Schizosaccharomyces pombe: one gene and its partners. Each later gene encodes a partner of the first gene's protein in a complex. Each region holds a gene or a part of one and is shown in the gene's direction. Other genes may lie near its edges.

Region 1 (5,135 bases):
GGAACCAAGCCTGATCATAAACCCTGGAAGCACGAGGAACACTGCCATCACGGTAAGTTTCCCCGTCCAATTCCTCACAATGGAACCAAGCCTGACCATAAACCCTGGAAGCACGAGGAACACTGCCATCACGGTAGGTTCCCTCGTCCAGTTCCCCACAATGGAACCAAGCCCGATCACAAGCCATGGAAGCACGAGGAACACTGCTCATGCCATCATGATAAGTTCTCTCGCCCAGTTCCTCATAATGGAACCAAGCCTGACCACAAACCTTGGAAGCACGAGGAACACTGCCACCATGGTAAGTTCCTTCGTCCAGTTCCTCACAATGTAACCAAGCCTGACCATAAACCCTGGAAGCACGAGGAACACTGCCATCACGGTAAGTTCCCTCGTCCAGTTCCCCACAATGGAACCAAGCCCGATCACAAGCCTTGGAAGCACGAGGAACACTGCTCTTGCCATGAAGACCATTCAGTTCATGAGCGTCCTAGTGCTAAAGGGGCTCTCGAGGACTATATTCAAACATTTGTAGAAACTTTCCAAATTGATGGTATTCGTTTCGATGCTATGGGTGACAAATATAGAAAGTACTGGCCAGATTTTTGCAAAGCTGCTGGAGTGTTTTGCATGGGTGACTTGAAATCTTCCGACTCTTTAAAAGTTTGTGATTGGCAAAACGACTTGGAAGGGTTGAGTAACTTCCCTGTTAGAGAATCTGCTGTAAAAGCATTTTTGATGAATAATCCAGAGGGAATTGTTGATCTTGCCGACAAAATGACTGACATGCGCGGTTTGTGTGTCAATCCCCTATTGTTAGGAAACTTCGTTGAGAACAAAGACCTTCCTAGAATGGCTTCAATTTCTAGTGATCCAGCCACCTTAAAGAATGCAATTGCTTTTGTTCTTATGGGAGATGGTATTCCTATGATGTACAACGGCCAAGAACTTGCCATGCGCGGTGAAGAGGTTCCTTATAATCGACCTGCAATTTGGGAGAAAGGTTTCCCAAAAAGAAATCCTTACTATAAGTTCACGTCTACAATCAATCGTTTCCGCAAAGCTATGATTGAAAGCAAAGACGGAGAAGCTTTCTTAAATATGCAGTCGGATATTAGCATCGTTGATAAAAGAATATTGCTTTTACGACGTGGCAAAGTAATAACCGTACTCAACAACTTAGGTTCATATTACATTCATTTCCATTATACTGTTTCGGCAGAAGAGCACAAGTGGATGGACGTATTATCTTGCAAGTCCGTTCCAGTACAAGATAATCGACAGGTATTTATGGTACGCAACGGTGAACCCATGATCTTGTACCCAGAGGAATCGGCTTATGAGATGGGATTGTGCCCATCTCCAATTCAGCTTACTGAAGATTATAACAGTGAAGGTTCTCTCTCCATTAACGTTGAAGAAGCCCAAACATCAAAGGCACCAGAGCAAAATCGAGGATTTACCAATGTCCTCGCCGCTCTTTTATTATCTTTGTTAATGATTTTGTAGGTATACGTTCCTTGAAATCTAATAATATACAGATTTTTTATTTTACATAAACCTTTTTCATATAAAGTATGATGACTTAGTTTACAGACCCATAGGGCTCTGTACTGAAGTTCATGAACGATAAGTCACCTCAATATAAATAATAGACGGGTAAATCCATTTTAATTTTTGGCTTTAAATTACAAAGTACTCAAGTAAAGCTTTAGCCAAAAAAATTTAAACTCCCATAATGATATCCGACGCAAACCGTCCAAACGTATTCATAATTGCGGTGGTGTGGCTAACTTGTATTTGACACAAGGCGAGCTGCGATACCCAAACACGTCCAGTTCCCTTAAATACTTCGTTGTTGGTTTATATAGGTATTTCAGCAAGTTATACCTAATATTCAGATAATTTGCTTATGCTCAACACAGGTCTACGAAAAGGGCTTGCGCTTTCACCGATAACTCACCTTCTGAAACGATGTAGTTCAGTTACAGACAATGTGCATCGAGTAAACTATTGCTACAATTACCACACAGTTCCTAATCTTTCACAAAGAAATTTGCTACCACTTTTCAGTCCTGAAGCTCTTGACATTGCCTGGGACCAGCATCAACGTCAAGTAGTAAAAGAATTAAATGATCGAGTGAAGGGAACAGAACTTGAGGATTCATCTGTGTTTAACATTATCTTTCAAACAGCCGCTTTGCCTGAGCATGCAGCCACATTCCAGTTTGCAAGTCAAGCTTACAACAATCATTTCTTTTTTCAAAGCTTGATCGGAAAAAGAGCTGCAGATGCCAAAAAAAACTCAAAATATGAAGCTAATGCCGCTATCAATAAAGCAGTCAATGAAAACTTTGGTTCTAAAGAAAATTTACTTTCTAAAATTCATGAGCTTGCCTCAAATAGTTTTGGAGCATGTTGGCTTTGGATTGTAATTGATGATTATAATAGATTAAACTTACTGAGAACTTTTCAAGCAGGTTCTCCGTATCTTTGGACTAGATGGCAATCAAATGATCCCCATCTTATTTCTAGTGTGCCAGATTATAGTGCCAGACCTCGAAAATATGCGCATGTTCCCATTTTAAACCTTTGTTTATGGAATCATGCATATTATAAAGATTACGGTCTTTTAAATCGCTCAAGATACATCGACACATGGTTTGATTGCATAGATTGGTCTGTCATTGAGGAAAGATTGACTAATTCTTTGGTATGAAAGAAAGGTGCAATCAATTTAGATAATTATATCTCATCACAATCTTGTTATGATTTTAAAAAAACGCCTTTTTCTACTTTCACCTTATAAATTTCATTCTAATTTTAATAAAAATTGTGTTTTCTCTACTCGTCCTTGAAACTTCTACAGTAGACTGTTTTGGCTCATGCTCGTATTCTAAATGATTTTAGGCTAATTCCGAGCAATCGAGTCATATAAGTTAAGTAATTTATTAACCAATTAACCGATTTATTGCTTAGAGGTTGAGATTAAAAACATTTTTTTTGTAAAGCTAGAAAAGCGCCAATACACAATGTAATTTACAGTTTATAGTGTCTCTTTTTCATGCAAAATTAAAAAAAAAAGATACCACAGAAAGGAGAAATTGAAATTTTACTGGTGGTTTATTTGCAAAGATAGAGTGGATTAGATTGATATCTAAATGAGAATTGACTAGTAAAGAAAAAGAATGTTCAAGTTAAAAAATCAGTGAGATAAGTGGACGAGCAATTTATCTCCTTGCCGCTGGGTGAACATTTTAACTCTCAAAGAAAGACAGACACCCTTTAGTTATTTGACCACAGGGCTGAATAAACAAAGATTAAAGAGACAAGGGTAGATGCAAGATATCTTCAAGTTATAAAACGAATGAAATAACGTATAAAAGCGATTATTGGATAAATTAATACTCTTCGTCAGCTTCGTACATTTCGTTATCCATAGAATCTTGACCAACCTCTTCGTAATCCCTTTCTAAGGCAGCCAAATCTTCTCTGGCTTCTGAAAATTCACCTTCTTCCATACCTTCACCGACATACCAATGAACAAAAGCACGCTTGCTGTACATAAGGTCAAACTTGTGGTCCAGACGAGACCAAGCTTCAGCAATCGAGGTGGTATTTGAAAGCATACAAACAGCACGATTTACCTTAGCGATTCCACTACCAGGAACGTGTTGGGGTGGCTCATAGCAAATACCGATTTTGAAACCAGTAGGGCACCAATCAACAAATTGGATGGTGCGACGAGATTTAATGCTAGTAACGGCAGCCTGGACATCACGTGGGATAACATCACCACGATACAAAAGACAAGTAGCCATATAGCGGCCAGTTCGTGGATCACATTTTACCATTTGATTATAAGGCTCAAAGCACTGATTCGTAATCTCTTGTACGCTGTTGGATTCATGGAATGCTTTAGCTGCACTGACAATAGGAGAATAAGTGACTAAAGGAAAGTGAATACGAGGGTATGGCACAAGATTAGTTTGAAACTCATTTAAGTCAACATTTAAGCTACCAGCAAATCGAAGAGAAGCGGTGATAGAAGAGACAACTTGAGCAATAAGGCGGTTGAGGTTTTCATAGGTTGGACGCTCAATGTCAAGATTTCGGCGACAGATATCGTAACAAGCCTCATTATCAACCATAAAGGTACAGTCAGAGTTATCGAGAGTAGCATGGGTAGTGAGCACAGAGTTGTAAGGTTCAACAACGGATGTGCTCACTTGAGGGGCGGGATAAACAGAAAATTGGAGGTTAGATTTCTTTCCGTATTCCATGTTCAAGCGCTCCAGAAGTAAAGCACCCAAACCCGAGCCGGTACCACCACCAAAAGAATGAAATACAAGGAAACCTTGGAGACCAGAACAATTGTCAGCCATACGACGTATCCTTTCTAATACACTATCAATCATTTCCTTTCCTACAGTATAATGTCCACGGGCGTAATTGTTAGAAGCATCTTCCTTACCAGTTACCATCTGTTCAGGATGAAACAGATCTTTATACGGTCCAGTACGAACTTGATCAATAACGTTAGGCTCAAGATCAACATAGATACTTCTAGGTACGAATTTTCCTTGCCCGGTTTCAGAAAAAAATGTACCGAATCCATCATTTAAATAGCTATTGTTTTTGTGAACTTCGGAGTTTTCTGTAGGAAAACCGTCGGGTCCTATGCCATGCTCCAAACAGTACAACTCCCAGCATGCTAGAAATGTTAGCTAAATTTTTTATGAAAAAATCGATTGCCAACTATTTAGAGTATACAGCAATACAAAAAGATGGATATTGAACATACCGTTACCGATTTGAACACCTGCTTGTCCAACATGAACAGAAATTACTTCTCTCATAATTTGTGATAATAACGAATGTAAATGCAACTAAACGCGCTACACAAGACGTTTTGGTTGCAAACTTAGGTTGTTTGTCAAGGGAGAGCGTAGGTACTCCAAGTCATGAGTAGGAAATAACGAAAAACGAATGAACTCGTAAAGCACTAAGGAGGGAAGTTTATGCAATGAGGTTCCAAAACTCATACCATGCAAATAACATAATGTTTTATAAAGAAGTAATATAAGTAGTATTCATTAATATTCTTGCAATGATCAATTTTCGAATTTTTCTGT
Region 2 (5,022 bases), on another chromosome or scaffold:
AAGCATCCTGATGATGGAAAGAAAAGCGCAATCTCTGAAGCCTCGAAACTGCTTATTAAATTTGCCGAAAAGCGGGTGCGTACAATTGTTTTCTGTCGTGTTCGAAAAACCTGTGAGTCGTTAATGAGACTAGTGAGGCAGGAATTAAAAACCAAACAAAAAGGAGATCTTTTATCTAAGATTCAATCGTATAGGGCTGGGTATACGGTTCAGGAACGCAGGAAGATAGAGAGTGAAATGTTTAACGGGAAATTATATGGGATTATTGCGACGAATGCTTTAGAGCTAGGTATTGATATAGGATCACTGGATGCCGTTATAACCATAGGATTTCCATATTCTTTGTCTAACTTGCGCCAGCAATTTGGTCGTGCTGGTAGAAGGAATAAGTCTTCCTTAGCAGTATATATAGTTGAGACATTTCCCGTTGATCAGTTTTATTTAAAGCATCCTATTTTGATTCACACTCAACCAAATGCTGAACTCACTTTAGACTTGACAAATGAGGTATTACTAGCGAGTCATCTTCAGTGTGCTGCATATGAGCTTCCCATTAACATAAGGAGCGACGAAAAGTTTTTTGGAAATCAAATTCAAGACATTTGCGAAGCAAATTTAGAAATGGTTGAAGAGAGTTATCGGCCTCATCCAAAATATCTTCCTTTTCCTGCCTCGCAGGTACGGATACGAAGCGTTAGTGAAGACATGTTTACTCTCGTCGATGTCACAAATGATAAGAATGTTATTCTAGAACTCCTCGAACCTTTTCGTGTTGCATTAACTGCTTACGAAGGTGCAGTTTATGTTTATCAAGGAAAAACGTTTATCATTAGGCTCCTAAATATTAACAAGAGAATTATTACTGCTCATCAAGTTGATGTTGAATGGTCAACATTGCAAAGAGATTTCACAGATGTTGATCCTGTTCGCAGCTTAATGAAGAAGACTATGCATGGAAGTACAAACATTTATTTTGGGGCTGTTAAAGCAACATTACATGTATTTGGGTATTTCAAAGTTAACAAGCAGAAAGATATTCTGGACGTGGTAGATATTACCGATCATCCTGTTGAAATTGATAGTCGAGGTTTCTGGATAGATGTACCTTGGCATATCATTGAGGTTTTGTCATTAAAAAAAATAAATGGAGCCGCTAGTATACATGCTGCCCAACATGCTTTACTTTCGTTGATGCCAATTTTTATTAGTAACAGCGGTAACGATATTCGAACAGAATGTAAAGCGGGTGAAAAGGAGTATAAAGAGGCTAAAAGCGAGCGAAGACGTCCTTCCCGACTCATTTTCTATGATAATTGTGGTGATTCATCTGGTGCTGGTTTATGCAACAAGGCATATGAACATACTGATGAATTAATTACAATGGCCATTGAGCGAATTGAGAGTTGCGATTGCAAAGTTCGTGAAGGTTGTCCCGGATGTATTACGAGTTCAAAATTTGAAGGCGGAGTTTGCTCTGGAGAAGTACTTGACAAGGGTAAGTATAGATATACTTTGCATTTTTTGTTGGACGGTGAAGCAATCCCGTATAGATTGGTCGCTTAGTAGTTTGTAAGATAACACTCTCATTTTTTTTATGATCAAATGAAAAGGGATTGCTTGCAAACTTAAATAGATTATTCACATTACTTCTACTAACATATTTCTTTCAGTTGGCGCTTTAATCTTATTGAAAATGCTACTGTGTCAACATGTAAATTTAGATATATATGCTGATGGACCAGAGATTGATTCATATCACGCTTTGCGAACTTTAATACCTTCTTGTTAATAATTGAATTTATTTTTTTTATTTTGTTTATATTAGACTAAATTATTAGTTAGTACTACTAATATTGCGTTGTGCTTTTTGATTTTACATTTAAACCCTACCCTAACTTACCGGAGTCAATGTTAGATACTGACAGCGCTCAGTGCTTACTACCGTACAGCCACCGTTCTCCTCATAGAAGCCAAGTCCCAATATAAATCTTGAATTTTTGTAAAAATATGAGTTTTGCACAAATTCTCCGTGGCTCGAGGGCAATGGCTTCTCCAAAATGTCTTCCAGAATCCAATTATTCAACATCACACCTTCGGTTTCCTCGATTGCAATCCATAACTTCAAAAAAAAATAGTAGAGCTCGTGGTGATTGGGGACTGAAAAGGACTCTTCCAAAAATAAAGACAAGATACATATGTGTGCGGCAGCAAGATTCCTTATACAAGCAAGCAGATTTTCAATCAAGCGCTAAATTTGTTCGTCTAGTTCGCAATTGGTTTGATGCTGGATTTGTACGAGATCCTTCTGAAGTTGCTTTGTTGCAAGAATTATTGAAAGAAACGGGGTTGAAAGATACGCGTGACATAAATAAGGTATTTTCTCCTTCTAAACAATCCGACGAAAATGATAACTTTCGCCGTTACGGAGTTTCTGGCGGTATTCAATACAGTAATGTTCCTTTAATTAATTCTCGAGTAACACCTAATTGTGAATCAAATTGTTCCAATATTCGACGTCGACTTACGGCCCATATAATTAGTTCAGATGCCTCTACTGCATACTACGGTTTAGGGGGCTTGATTCTGAGGCTACCTCGAACAGTTGTCTTTAATAGAAATCGGTCATCTCCCCTCTTTTCCCAGGAACAGCGCATTTCTTATACAGTCTATAAAAATGGTCGACTCCGACTAGTTCCCTTTTCCGGTCCCGAGTTAGAAACACATCTTGCCTATCCCTCGGAAGACTCGGAGGTTGAATCGTTTTTTAACAGAGATATTCAATTGGTAGCCAAAAGAGATTCATCTCTCGATGCTCCCGTATCCTATCAACGGGGTATTATGAAATTTTTTATGGCTCCCTCTCAAACCTCAAATAATGAAGCTAATTCCTCAGAGAAAGATAACCTCTCTAATTCGTAGAGGACTTTATGATCATGTGCATTTATGCTATCTCCTTATGGTTTACTCGATTTTAAGTTGCATTTAACAACCTATCATTTTTATTATTAAGAAGGTTCGTTTAAGTCTCCTATATTCTGTTGTTATCCCACAGTACAATCTACCACTAGCAATAATCTTAACGACATACGATTCTCCTTTAAAAAATCTTTCAATCTATTTATTCTTACTTCTCTTTGTGTGGCATCAAATTCTTGTACCAATAATGGGTCTATTGCTTCAAATGACTCTTACACTTTCCATTTGTTTCCCTATTTACTAGTTTACCCTAAACTGCGTTTTGCACTTGACGGTTGTTCATTTTGGTGAACAGTCATAACACTTGAACTGAATGTGTTTTCTAAGAAGTTTGTTTGGTTTGCAATGTTACATCCTTGTTCTCTGGGTGTTAGTGAAAGTCACTCTCGTTAATCTTGACTAGGTATATATTTCAGTTAACCGTTATTTTCGGTTTCACCTCGAAATAAATGTTTTTTGTTGATTATATAAGCGCAAGCGTTTGAAAAAAGAGTTAGAATTTTGTAAAGGATTTTTTTTTTCCGAAATTGTCTTTAAGTACAGTTCAATAACTTACAAAATCTTATCCTTTTACCATACATTGTTAATTGTGCATTTCAACTGTTTAATTAGATATAACTGATTATTAGCATATACTATAAAAATGACTGTAGATGTGTATATATATTTCAAAAGTTGAATCACATAGCCCAATCTTTGGTATATATGTGAATATAATTCAGCAAACAACTTCCACGAGATATAAGTCTTCTAAAAACATAGGGCGTGTCGTCAAAAAATGATATAAATAATCCCAATCGTCAAAGATATATCAGTGAAAGAATATACTGACAGACGATCATTAAGGACTATTCAAATCTGCTTCGCAATTGAACAATTTAAAAAAATGAGTGCTGCTCTTTAGGAAGTTTGAGTTATTTGTGATAAAATGATAAGAACTTAAAACCATAGTAAAATAATTACCATTAATTCCAACCAAGCCAAGATCGACGCATTACACGCCACACAGTAACTTCTCCACTCTTTAAATCACCGAATTTGTAGCTTGCAACTGAAACCTTCTTGGACTCTCTGCCTTGTTCCAACACCCTAATCTTCAGTTTCGAAACATCCCACTCTGATATGATACCATAATGCATGGGCTTACCAACTTCAAGAGAGTATTTTGAACGAAGAGTACCTTTTTGTCCACTAAATTTAGCCTTATCAAATGTAACTATATCACCTGGGCGAATCTCACCAATTTGTTGCACAGTAACATTTCCAACATTCTTGTAAATCACACCTCCAAAAGTCTGTTTGTTTATAGGTTCGAGATTATGCGCCAGTATCGACATAACGGAATTAACAAAAGTGAATGCAGAACCATCACCAACCATGCTACCTTGGTAAGCTCGGGCTTTTTTCAAAATTGTAGAGCCATAACAAGCATATTCCTCATCTAATCTAGCTTTTGAAGGCTGTGCTGGTGGAGCTAGTTGAAGTTGAGATAATTGTGTAATATTTTGGTTATGTGGGTTGAATGTAGCTGTCAAGACTGTTTGGCTGTAGTCAGGGAACAGTATGTGTACAGACTTGTATTTTTTATCTTGCCCTGTAATTCCTTCTTTTATCATATATAGAACAGAGTCATTCATCTGCACTACGGATTTAGGAACAGCAGTAGAATTCAGCCACCATTTCTCAGAAGCGCAAGGCTCAACCGGCTTTGCAGAAAAGCTTTCGTTAAAAGGTCCAGTAGTAGAGACAATAGAAGGTTTCTTACTAGCTCTACTCGAAGAGCGCGAAAGATGTCGATGAAGAGATTTACGACTGTCTTGATGCGCTAATGACGTACGAGTAGAAGATGAATCAGCATGTCCTTCATTGTGATGATGATGGTGTTCTCCAGACTTTGAAGACTTACGACTGCTTGTCGATGTTTCATGCCTTTCAGCTTTAGATTTCGACCTTGAAACTGAAGTACGTGCTGGAGCAGCAGAAGCCATAGAAGAAGAAGTTGGAGAAGGTGAGGCATTCGAGTGTGGCGACGGAACCGAAGATCTT
Region 3 (5,921 bases), 400 kb from region 1:
AGAGCAATGCCTTGCATAAACTTTGCAGTTTCAAAAAGATTGACAGCGGTAGGACGAGACTGTTTGAGATGCTCAAAGCTATTTATAACATATTCTTTTGCATCTGCATCTTCAGAAAGATGTTTTAATCCGACAGCCACACTCAAAGCTGCTACAATAGCAATAGCTGGGGCCCCACGAACTTGCATTTTTTTTATGACAGCGAATGCGTCTTCTACATTACTAACTGAAATGTATTTACGCTCGTACGGAAGAAGTAATTGGTCTAATACAAGAAGCTTGTCCTCATTATAAATGATTGCTTGCAACGACATTCTGCCCAAATTTTTGAATATCTCTGCCTTTGAAAACTTTTACTTCACTAGCGCACGAACGCACATGCATCAGATAAAATTAAAGGATTTGATGAAGCTCGTAGCGATGCATTAATAGAAATAATGAATTAATATAAAGTTACACTGTGTAGTTTACTTAGGAACAAAAAATAGTACATTAAGTTTAATATAAATTTATAAGAAGAGTTAACGCAGTCTTTCGTACTTTTGACACTGCTTATAGATAGATAAAATTAGCAACCCTAACTTAATATTGTGCTTCTTATTTATCCGCACTATTTGATATGCATCTAACATTTTGAACGCGTAAACAAAAAATTTAGACTCATTCAAAGATGTAAGTTCCATCGTCAAATTATATTACCAAGTTATTTTGATAATGAGTATGGTGCCTTGAATTATAGATTAAAAAATGTATCACCGAATTTATTTTTAATAATGAGTCGATCTGACATATTAGAATCAAGGAATAATAATATGCATTGATGTTTTATGAAGGAATTACAGCTGTAGAACCTATGTATACAAACTTCAAACTTTTAAAGATGAGAACGATATATTTTTTTCGTTTTCCAGAAAAGCCATGCTTGAAGTATTTATCAAGATGTTCGGTAGTGTCAATTTAATAATCATATGTGCGACTTTGACTTTGACATGCAGCAAGAAGTTGTTGACACCAACCTATCTGCTTGAAAAGTGATACTCGTTTGCAATACTTAAATATATATATATATATATCAGTGATCGCAAGTCAGTTTTGAATGCAGGATTGGTAAACAAGGGTCGCAAGTTAATATATTTATATAGCTGTCTGCTGTAACAGTTTAACATACAACCTTGAAACTGTAAAACATTGAATATTTTTCATTGTTAAAGCCAATTTAAATGAGAACGATTATTGTGTTACGAGGTAAGCATTTAATTCCAAAATCCCTATGTATTCTTGTAGTATAAAGTAATTTGAATGACAAATCAGTAGATTCTTCCATAATTGCAAGTAGGATGCCAGTCCCAAACCTTTAATTCCTAGCTCAAAAGCACAATTGTTCAGTTCACACTTTTGTTAACTTCCGGAATTTGTTATTGTAAAATAATTGTCTCCTCATAATTTTAAAAAATTACATCTCATTGCTGACTGAGAACTCTCATCATACTGGTCAATTTTAAATTGTGCTGAAAGCCTTATAATCACAAATATTCATGTTTAATCGAATTTTTTTGGTTTTCTTCACTATGGTGCATCAATAATATTTTTAGTACAGTACAATCACACCCACCTTTGAATTCTAAACTTTGACCTTCAAATGCAAATAAAAAATTTATAGTTAGATCGTTCCATCATAGTATAAATTACAGAATGATATTGCTTTTTTAAAATAAATGTTACCATCTACGTGTTTTTCAAGGTATTCACGCGCGAACGACATTTAAAATGATTTCGCTCCGCTTGTTTATGTTCAATTAAAACATTGATTAATAACCCCTTAGTCCTACGATAATTGTGTTAAACTGAATATGATGGTGGATGACAAGTGTAGCTCGACCATTACTCCCCACTCCAACCAAAAAATTTTGTTAAAAAAAAACACCTTTACAGTGTTTAATTGTTGGAATTTTGTTCTTGTGGTTTTCTTAACAAGTATTTTAAGTAACCGGCTAAAATATTAATCATGAAACGGTATATGTTTGGTACATTACCTCGCGTGCAACCGAAACGTTGTTTCCAGACAGCTATTGGCAAAGAATCACCGTATGTATTCAATCCTTTCCTCTAATTTAAGCTATAATTTTGTACATTCTAACCCCAATTTATTAGCAAAGGGAACAGCGAAAAGGATCAACTTTTTGAGAATCCATTTTTTCAACAGCTTCCTTCCAACGTTGCAGCTGTATATTTGAACCCTGTTAAATTCAATCCTTCTGAAAACGACGTACTTTGTGCTTCTCTAAAAATTAAAAGCTTTGAAACTCCAAAACTTGATACGTTTACCGACTTCATTTGTCGAACAGCGTATTACATGAAAATTCCAATCAAGGGTCCACGTCCATTACCCAACAAAGTAGAAAGCTGGACTTTACTCCGATCACCTTTTATTCACAAATCTTCTCAGGAGAATTTTGAACGTATTACGCACTCTCGACTTATACAACTGTACAGTGTCAATCCAGTTACTTTAGAAACGTTTTTTAGTTATTTACGAAAATGCAACATGTGGGATTTAAAATTGCAAGCAAAAGCTTATGAATACGAATCCATCGATGATGCCCTTAAAAACTTCGAGTCACAGTCTAAGTCTACTGATAATTTCAAAGAATTGTTAAACGGTCCTTCGAAAAAAGATATAATCACACAAAATGCCGAAAAATTGCTCAGAAACGACCCCATTTACAAAGATTTGTTAAAAAATTCATCTCGAAAATAAAAATTAACTAATGTGTTTTCAATTACTCTGATGTTGGACCGTTTATTAGCAAAAATACTCTGACTGTATTCGTACTTTTTTTTTTAACAATATGACACTAGCTTTTCTTCATTAAAAGTGTTCTTTAACTAAAAACGTTACGAATAGTCCACACTTGTTTCGTTAGTTTTCCTCACCAGTAATTTTTGAAGTTTCTTGGGGATTGCTTTTCGAAAGAACAAAACCCGCAAGTGCCTTAGGTCCTTCAGATTTTTCCATTTCAAGCTGTTCCATTGGATCCATTGGTGCTGCTGCACTTTCAATTTTAGCTGCTCTCTTCGCTATATGAAGGGAATCAGTGCTAAACTTAGTTTGTACAGACCGTTTAATACGAAGCATTTCTTTAACTGTTTCTTCTGGATTTCCGTACCTTATTTCAAATTCTTGCCATGCTTTCCAATAATCCGTTTCAACTCTTGGATCACAGTATTGACTTCCATGAATATATATTAAACGAGCACGATCGATTTCACCAAGTTTCGTCTCCATTTCAGCAAACCTTAAGCACATATCTTTGACTTCTGAGTCACTCAGGGATTCAATAGCCTTCTCATAAACTGTCCTTGTCGCCAGTACACCATAATTTAATGCCACTTTAACGAGTAACACATTGTAAATAGCAAGACGGTCTGCTGTTTTAACCTTGTCGGCCGCTTTTTCTAAAATAGAAATGGATCTTTTTGCTTTGCCAAACTTTTCTTCGAAATCGGCATACAGAAGATAAATACTTTTCGAAAATTCGGGCGGACATCCTTCTAATGCTTGTTCAAATAAATCCCTGGTCCTTTCCATATGCGTTCCTTGATATCGTTTAACAAATTTTGTTAAATATAAATTCCAAAGTTCAAAAGCCACGGGATAACTAAATAACGCAACACCTCTCTCATAAATTTTAAATGAATCTTCAAAATAAGCATTCTCCTCTAAGAGATTTGCATAATTGACAACCACCTGGGGAGTAGCAATTTTTAGTTCAAAGACGCGGTCGTACAATTTGCGTGTAGTTTCAATCGTACCAACGCTTTCCTCAAGATCAAGATAATACATCCATATCTTAGATGACTTGTGTAGCCGTACTTGTGGACTGAGTGATTCATCAAAAAAGCTGATATGACTTTTTCTAGGAGCATGAACGGCATCTCCTATTAATTTTCTCGCAGCGTCAAAATTTTGATGTCGAAGTTCCATCTCGGCCCAGTCAATCCAAACTTGTGCTAACTCATTGACTGTTTTATATGGTACATGAGTAGCCTTTTCAAAAATTATCCTTGATTGTTCTAAATCATCAAAATTTTCATAAAAACGAGCAAACTCTGAAAACAATTTGCCGAGGGAGCCATGCGCCAGCTTTGGATTTACATTTTTTATAGCGTCTGTGTAAACTTGAACAACTTTTTCGCTGTCGTCTTCTAAAAACTTGACTCGGCGAAGCCATTCGTCAACGTTATTTATATTTTGCCTTAATAATACATCATTGATATAAAGCGGACGTTTGTCAAGTATTTTCTCGAGCCAGGCCATATGAAAATCGATACTTAATTCGTCATTTGCATTTCCGCTGCTTGCTTCAACTCGTGCAGATAGCCATTGCTCTTCGAATTCAACAAAAGCATCGAATATAATTGTAAAATTTCTTACAGTCATTATGTTATTCATCCCTTCATAGAATGTGCTTCTTGCCTGTACGATAAGTTAGTTTTTGCAATAAGGGGTCAATAAACAAACCAGTTAAACATACCTTCTCGTAGTCACCAATGCGTATATAATATTGTGCCAAATAAGTCCATAGTTTCCCTGCTTGATCAGAAAACCTTTTAATGCCAGCTCTAAAAACCTTTTCTACGTCTATGTTTTGCGTATGGTCAGGATGCTGAACAACTAACTCGGAAAACTCGAGCCATATCTGATAATTGCTCTTCCTTTTTGCTGATAAAAACACGGGCCGATTTAAAATATCCTCATATTGTCGAGCAGCTTCATTCCACAGCCCTAATTTACAAAGTATCTCAATGTAGTTTTCAATTGCTCTTGGTTCTACTTGTATATATCTGCGGTAGACATGGATGCAAAATAATCCTCCAATATCTTCAGCATATTTCGTAAACATGTCCCAAATATCATCGTGCTGAGTTACCGGTAAGGCGCGAAGTGCAGAGTTAAATGTACAACGAATCTTAGTGACATTTGGTTGTTTCATCAAAAATTGTAAATATAGTTTCCAAATAACAGGCATTTTATGCAATAAAATCAAAGAGCGCTCAAAACAATCGTTTACAGAAGCAAAAGCTTCGGCATGAAAATATGGGTTCAAATGTTCAACATGCGCTACACGTAGTTCCAAATAGCTTTTCCATATTTTATAGCTTCCCGGGAGTTCTGAACAAGCTCTTTCAAATAAAAGCACACGCTTTTCCAAAGTAGATCCTTCATGGGTCTTTATATATCGTAACCAACTTTTCAGAGAATATGGATCACGTAGCAATTCAAGCTCAAACGGCTCGTCATCAACATTAATTAGATCAAAATTAACTTTCAGTGGAATAACATCTCCCATTTCTAATCCTTTTGATTGTTTTCTAAAGAAGCCCGATGTAGGCTGTTGTCGTGCATACAATAGACCTTGGGCAAGTGAAAAATATGAAGTTCAATTTTAACCCCATAAGATGAAACTTAATTGAGAAAGCACATTGCTTATAAGATATAAAACAAATAAATTACAGAATTAAAAGACTGTCTATATGCCCACCTCTAGGGAATTAAGCCAAAGTATGTTGATAAATCAGAGCTACAAAATACAGCCCTTCGATTTCTATTTCATTTGTTGTAAATCACTATCCATAACGACCTTCTGCTATTTAACTACCCTTATCAGTAAACCTCTTCTGTACTTCGAATTTATTCATTGATTGCTATATTCAAATTATATTTATACGAAACGCAAAATCGCTTCACCTGGTAGATATAAAGCTAATAGTGGTGCTAATGTGACTTTTGGTCATAAAAATTAACGAGTATTCAAACTAGTTATCACTAATTAGGAGCGGCAAAAACACTAATTGTACATATAATCAGCTTACAAAAATCACATCGAAATGCCTAAATCCTTGACTAATTGTTTGCAATA

Evidence for each region. Proteins that work in one complex are often made in the same cells at the same time.
Region 2: SPOM_SPBC16A3.14 (region 1) and mrp51 share a complex: the UniProt entries of both Schizosaccharomyces pombe proteins name them as parts of the mitochondrial small ribosomal subunit.
Region 3: SPOM_SPBC16A3.14 (region 1) and rsm10 share a complex: the UniProt entries of both Schizosaccharomyces pombe proteins name them as parts of the mitochondrial small ribosomal subunit.

Annotation. Positions count from the first base shown.
Region 1 is NC_003423.3:4,268,715-4,273,849, reverse strand, and holds SPOM_SPBC16A3.14 (mitochondrial ribosomal protein subunit S26), read left to right. Parts: upstream 1-1,817; 5' UTR 1,818-1,912; coding exon 1,913-2,719; 3' UTR 2,720-2,859; downstream 2,860-5,135. Other genes in the region: meu7 (alpha-amylase 4), read left to right, coding at 1-1,509; nda2 (tubulin alpha 1), read right to left, coding at 3,402-4,714, 4,805-4,859. UniProt on the Schizosaccharomyces pombe protein: Component of the mitochondrial ribosome (mitoribosome), a dedicated translation machinery responsible for the synthesis of mitochondrial genome-encoded proteins, including at least some of the essential transmembrane subunits of the mitochondrial respiratory chain.
Region 2 is NC_003424.3:4,110,582-4,115,603, reverse strand, and holds mrp51 (mitochondrial 37S ribosomal protein bS1m), read left to right. Parts: upstream 1-1,945; 5' UTR 1,946-2,007; coding exon 2,008-2,919; 3' UTR 2,920-3,634; downstream 3,635-5,022. Other genes in the region: RecQ type DNA helicase Hrq1, read left to right, coding at 1-1,495, 1,671-1,789; bbc1 (SH3 domain-containing protein), read right to left, coding at 3,942-5,022. UniProt on the Schizosaccharomyces pombe protein: Component of the mitochondrial ribosome (mitoribosome), a dedicated translation machinery responsible for the synthesis of mitochondrial genome-encoded proteins, including at least some of the essential transmembrane subunits of the mitochondrial respiratory chain.
Region 3 is NC_003423.3:3,868,288-3,874,208, forward strand, and holds rsm10 (mitochondrial 37S ribosomal protein uS10m), read left to right. Parts: upstream 1-1,880; 5' UTR 1,881-2,005; coding exon 2,006-2,085; intron 2,086-2,151; coding exon 2,152-2,758; 3' UTR 2,759-2,920; coding exon of another isoform or gene 2,921-4,477; 3' UTR 4,478-4,533; downstream 4,534-5,921. Other genes in the region: mri1 (methylthioribose-1-phosphate isomerase), read right to left, coding at 1-314; protein Cwf3, read right to left, coding at 2,921-4,477, 4,536-5,351. UniProt on the Schizosaccharomyces pombe protein: Component of the mitochondrial ribosome (mitoribosome), a dedicated translation machinery responsible for the synthesis of mitochondrial genome-encoded proteins, including at least some of the essential transmembrane subunits of the mitochondrial respiratory chain.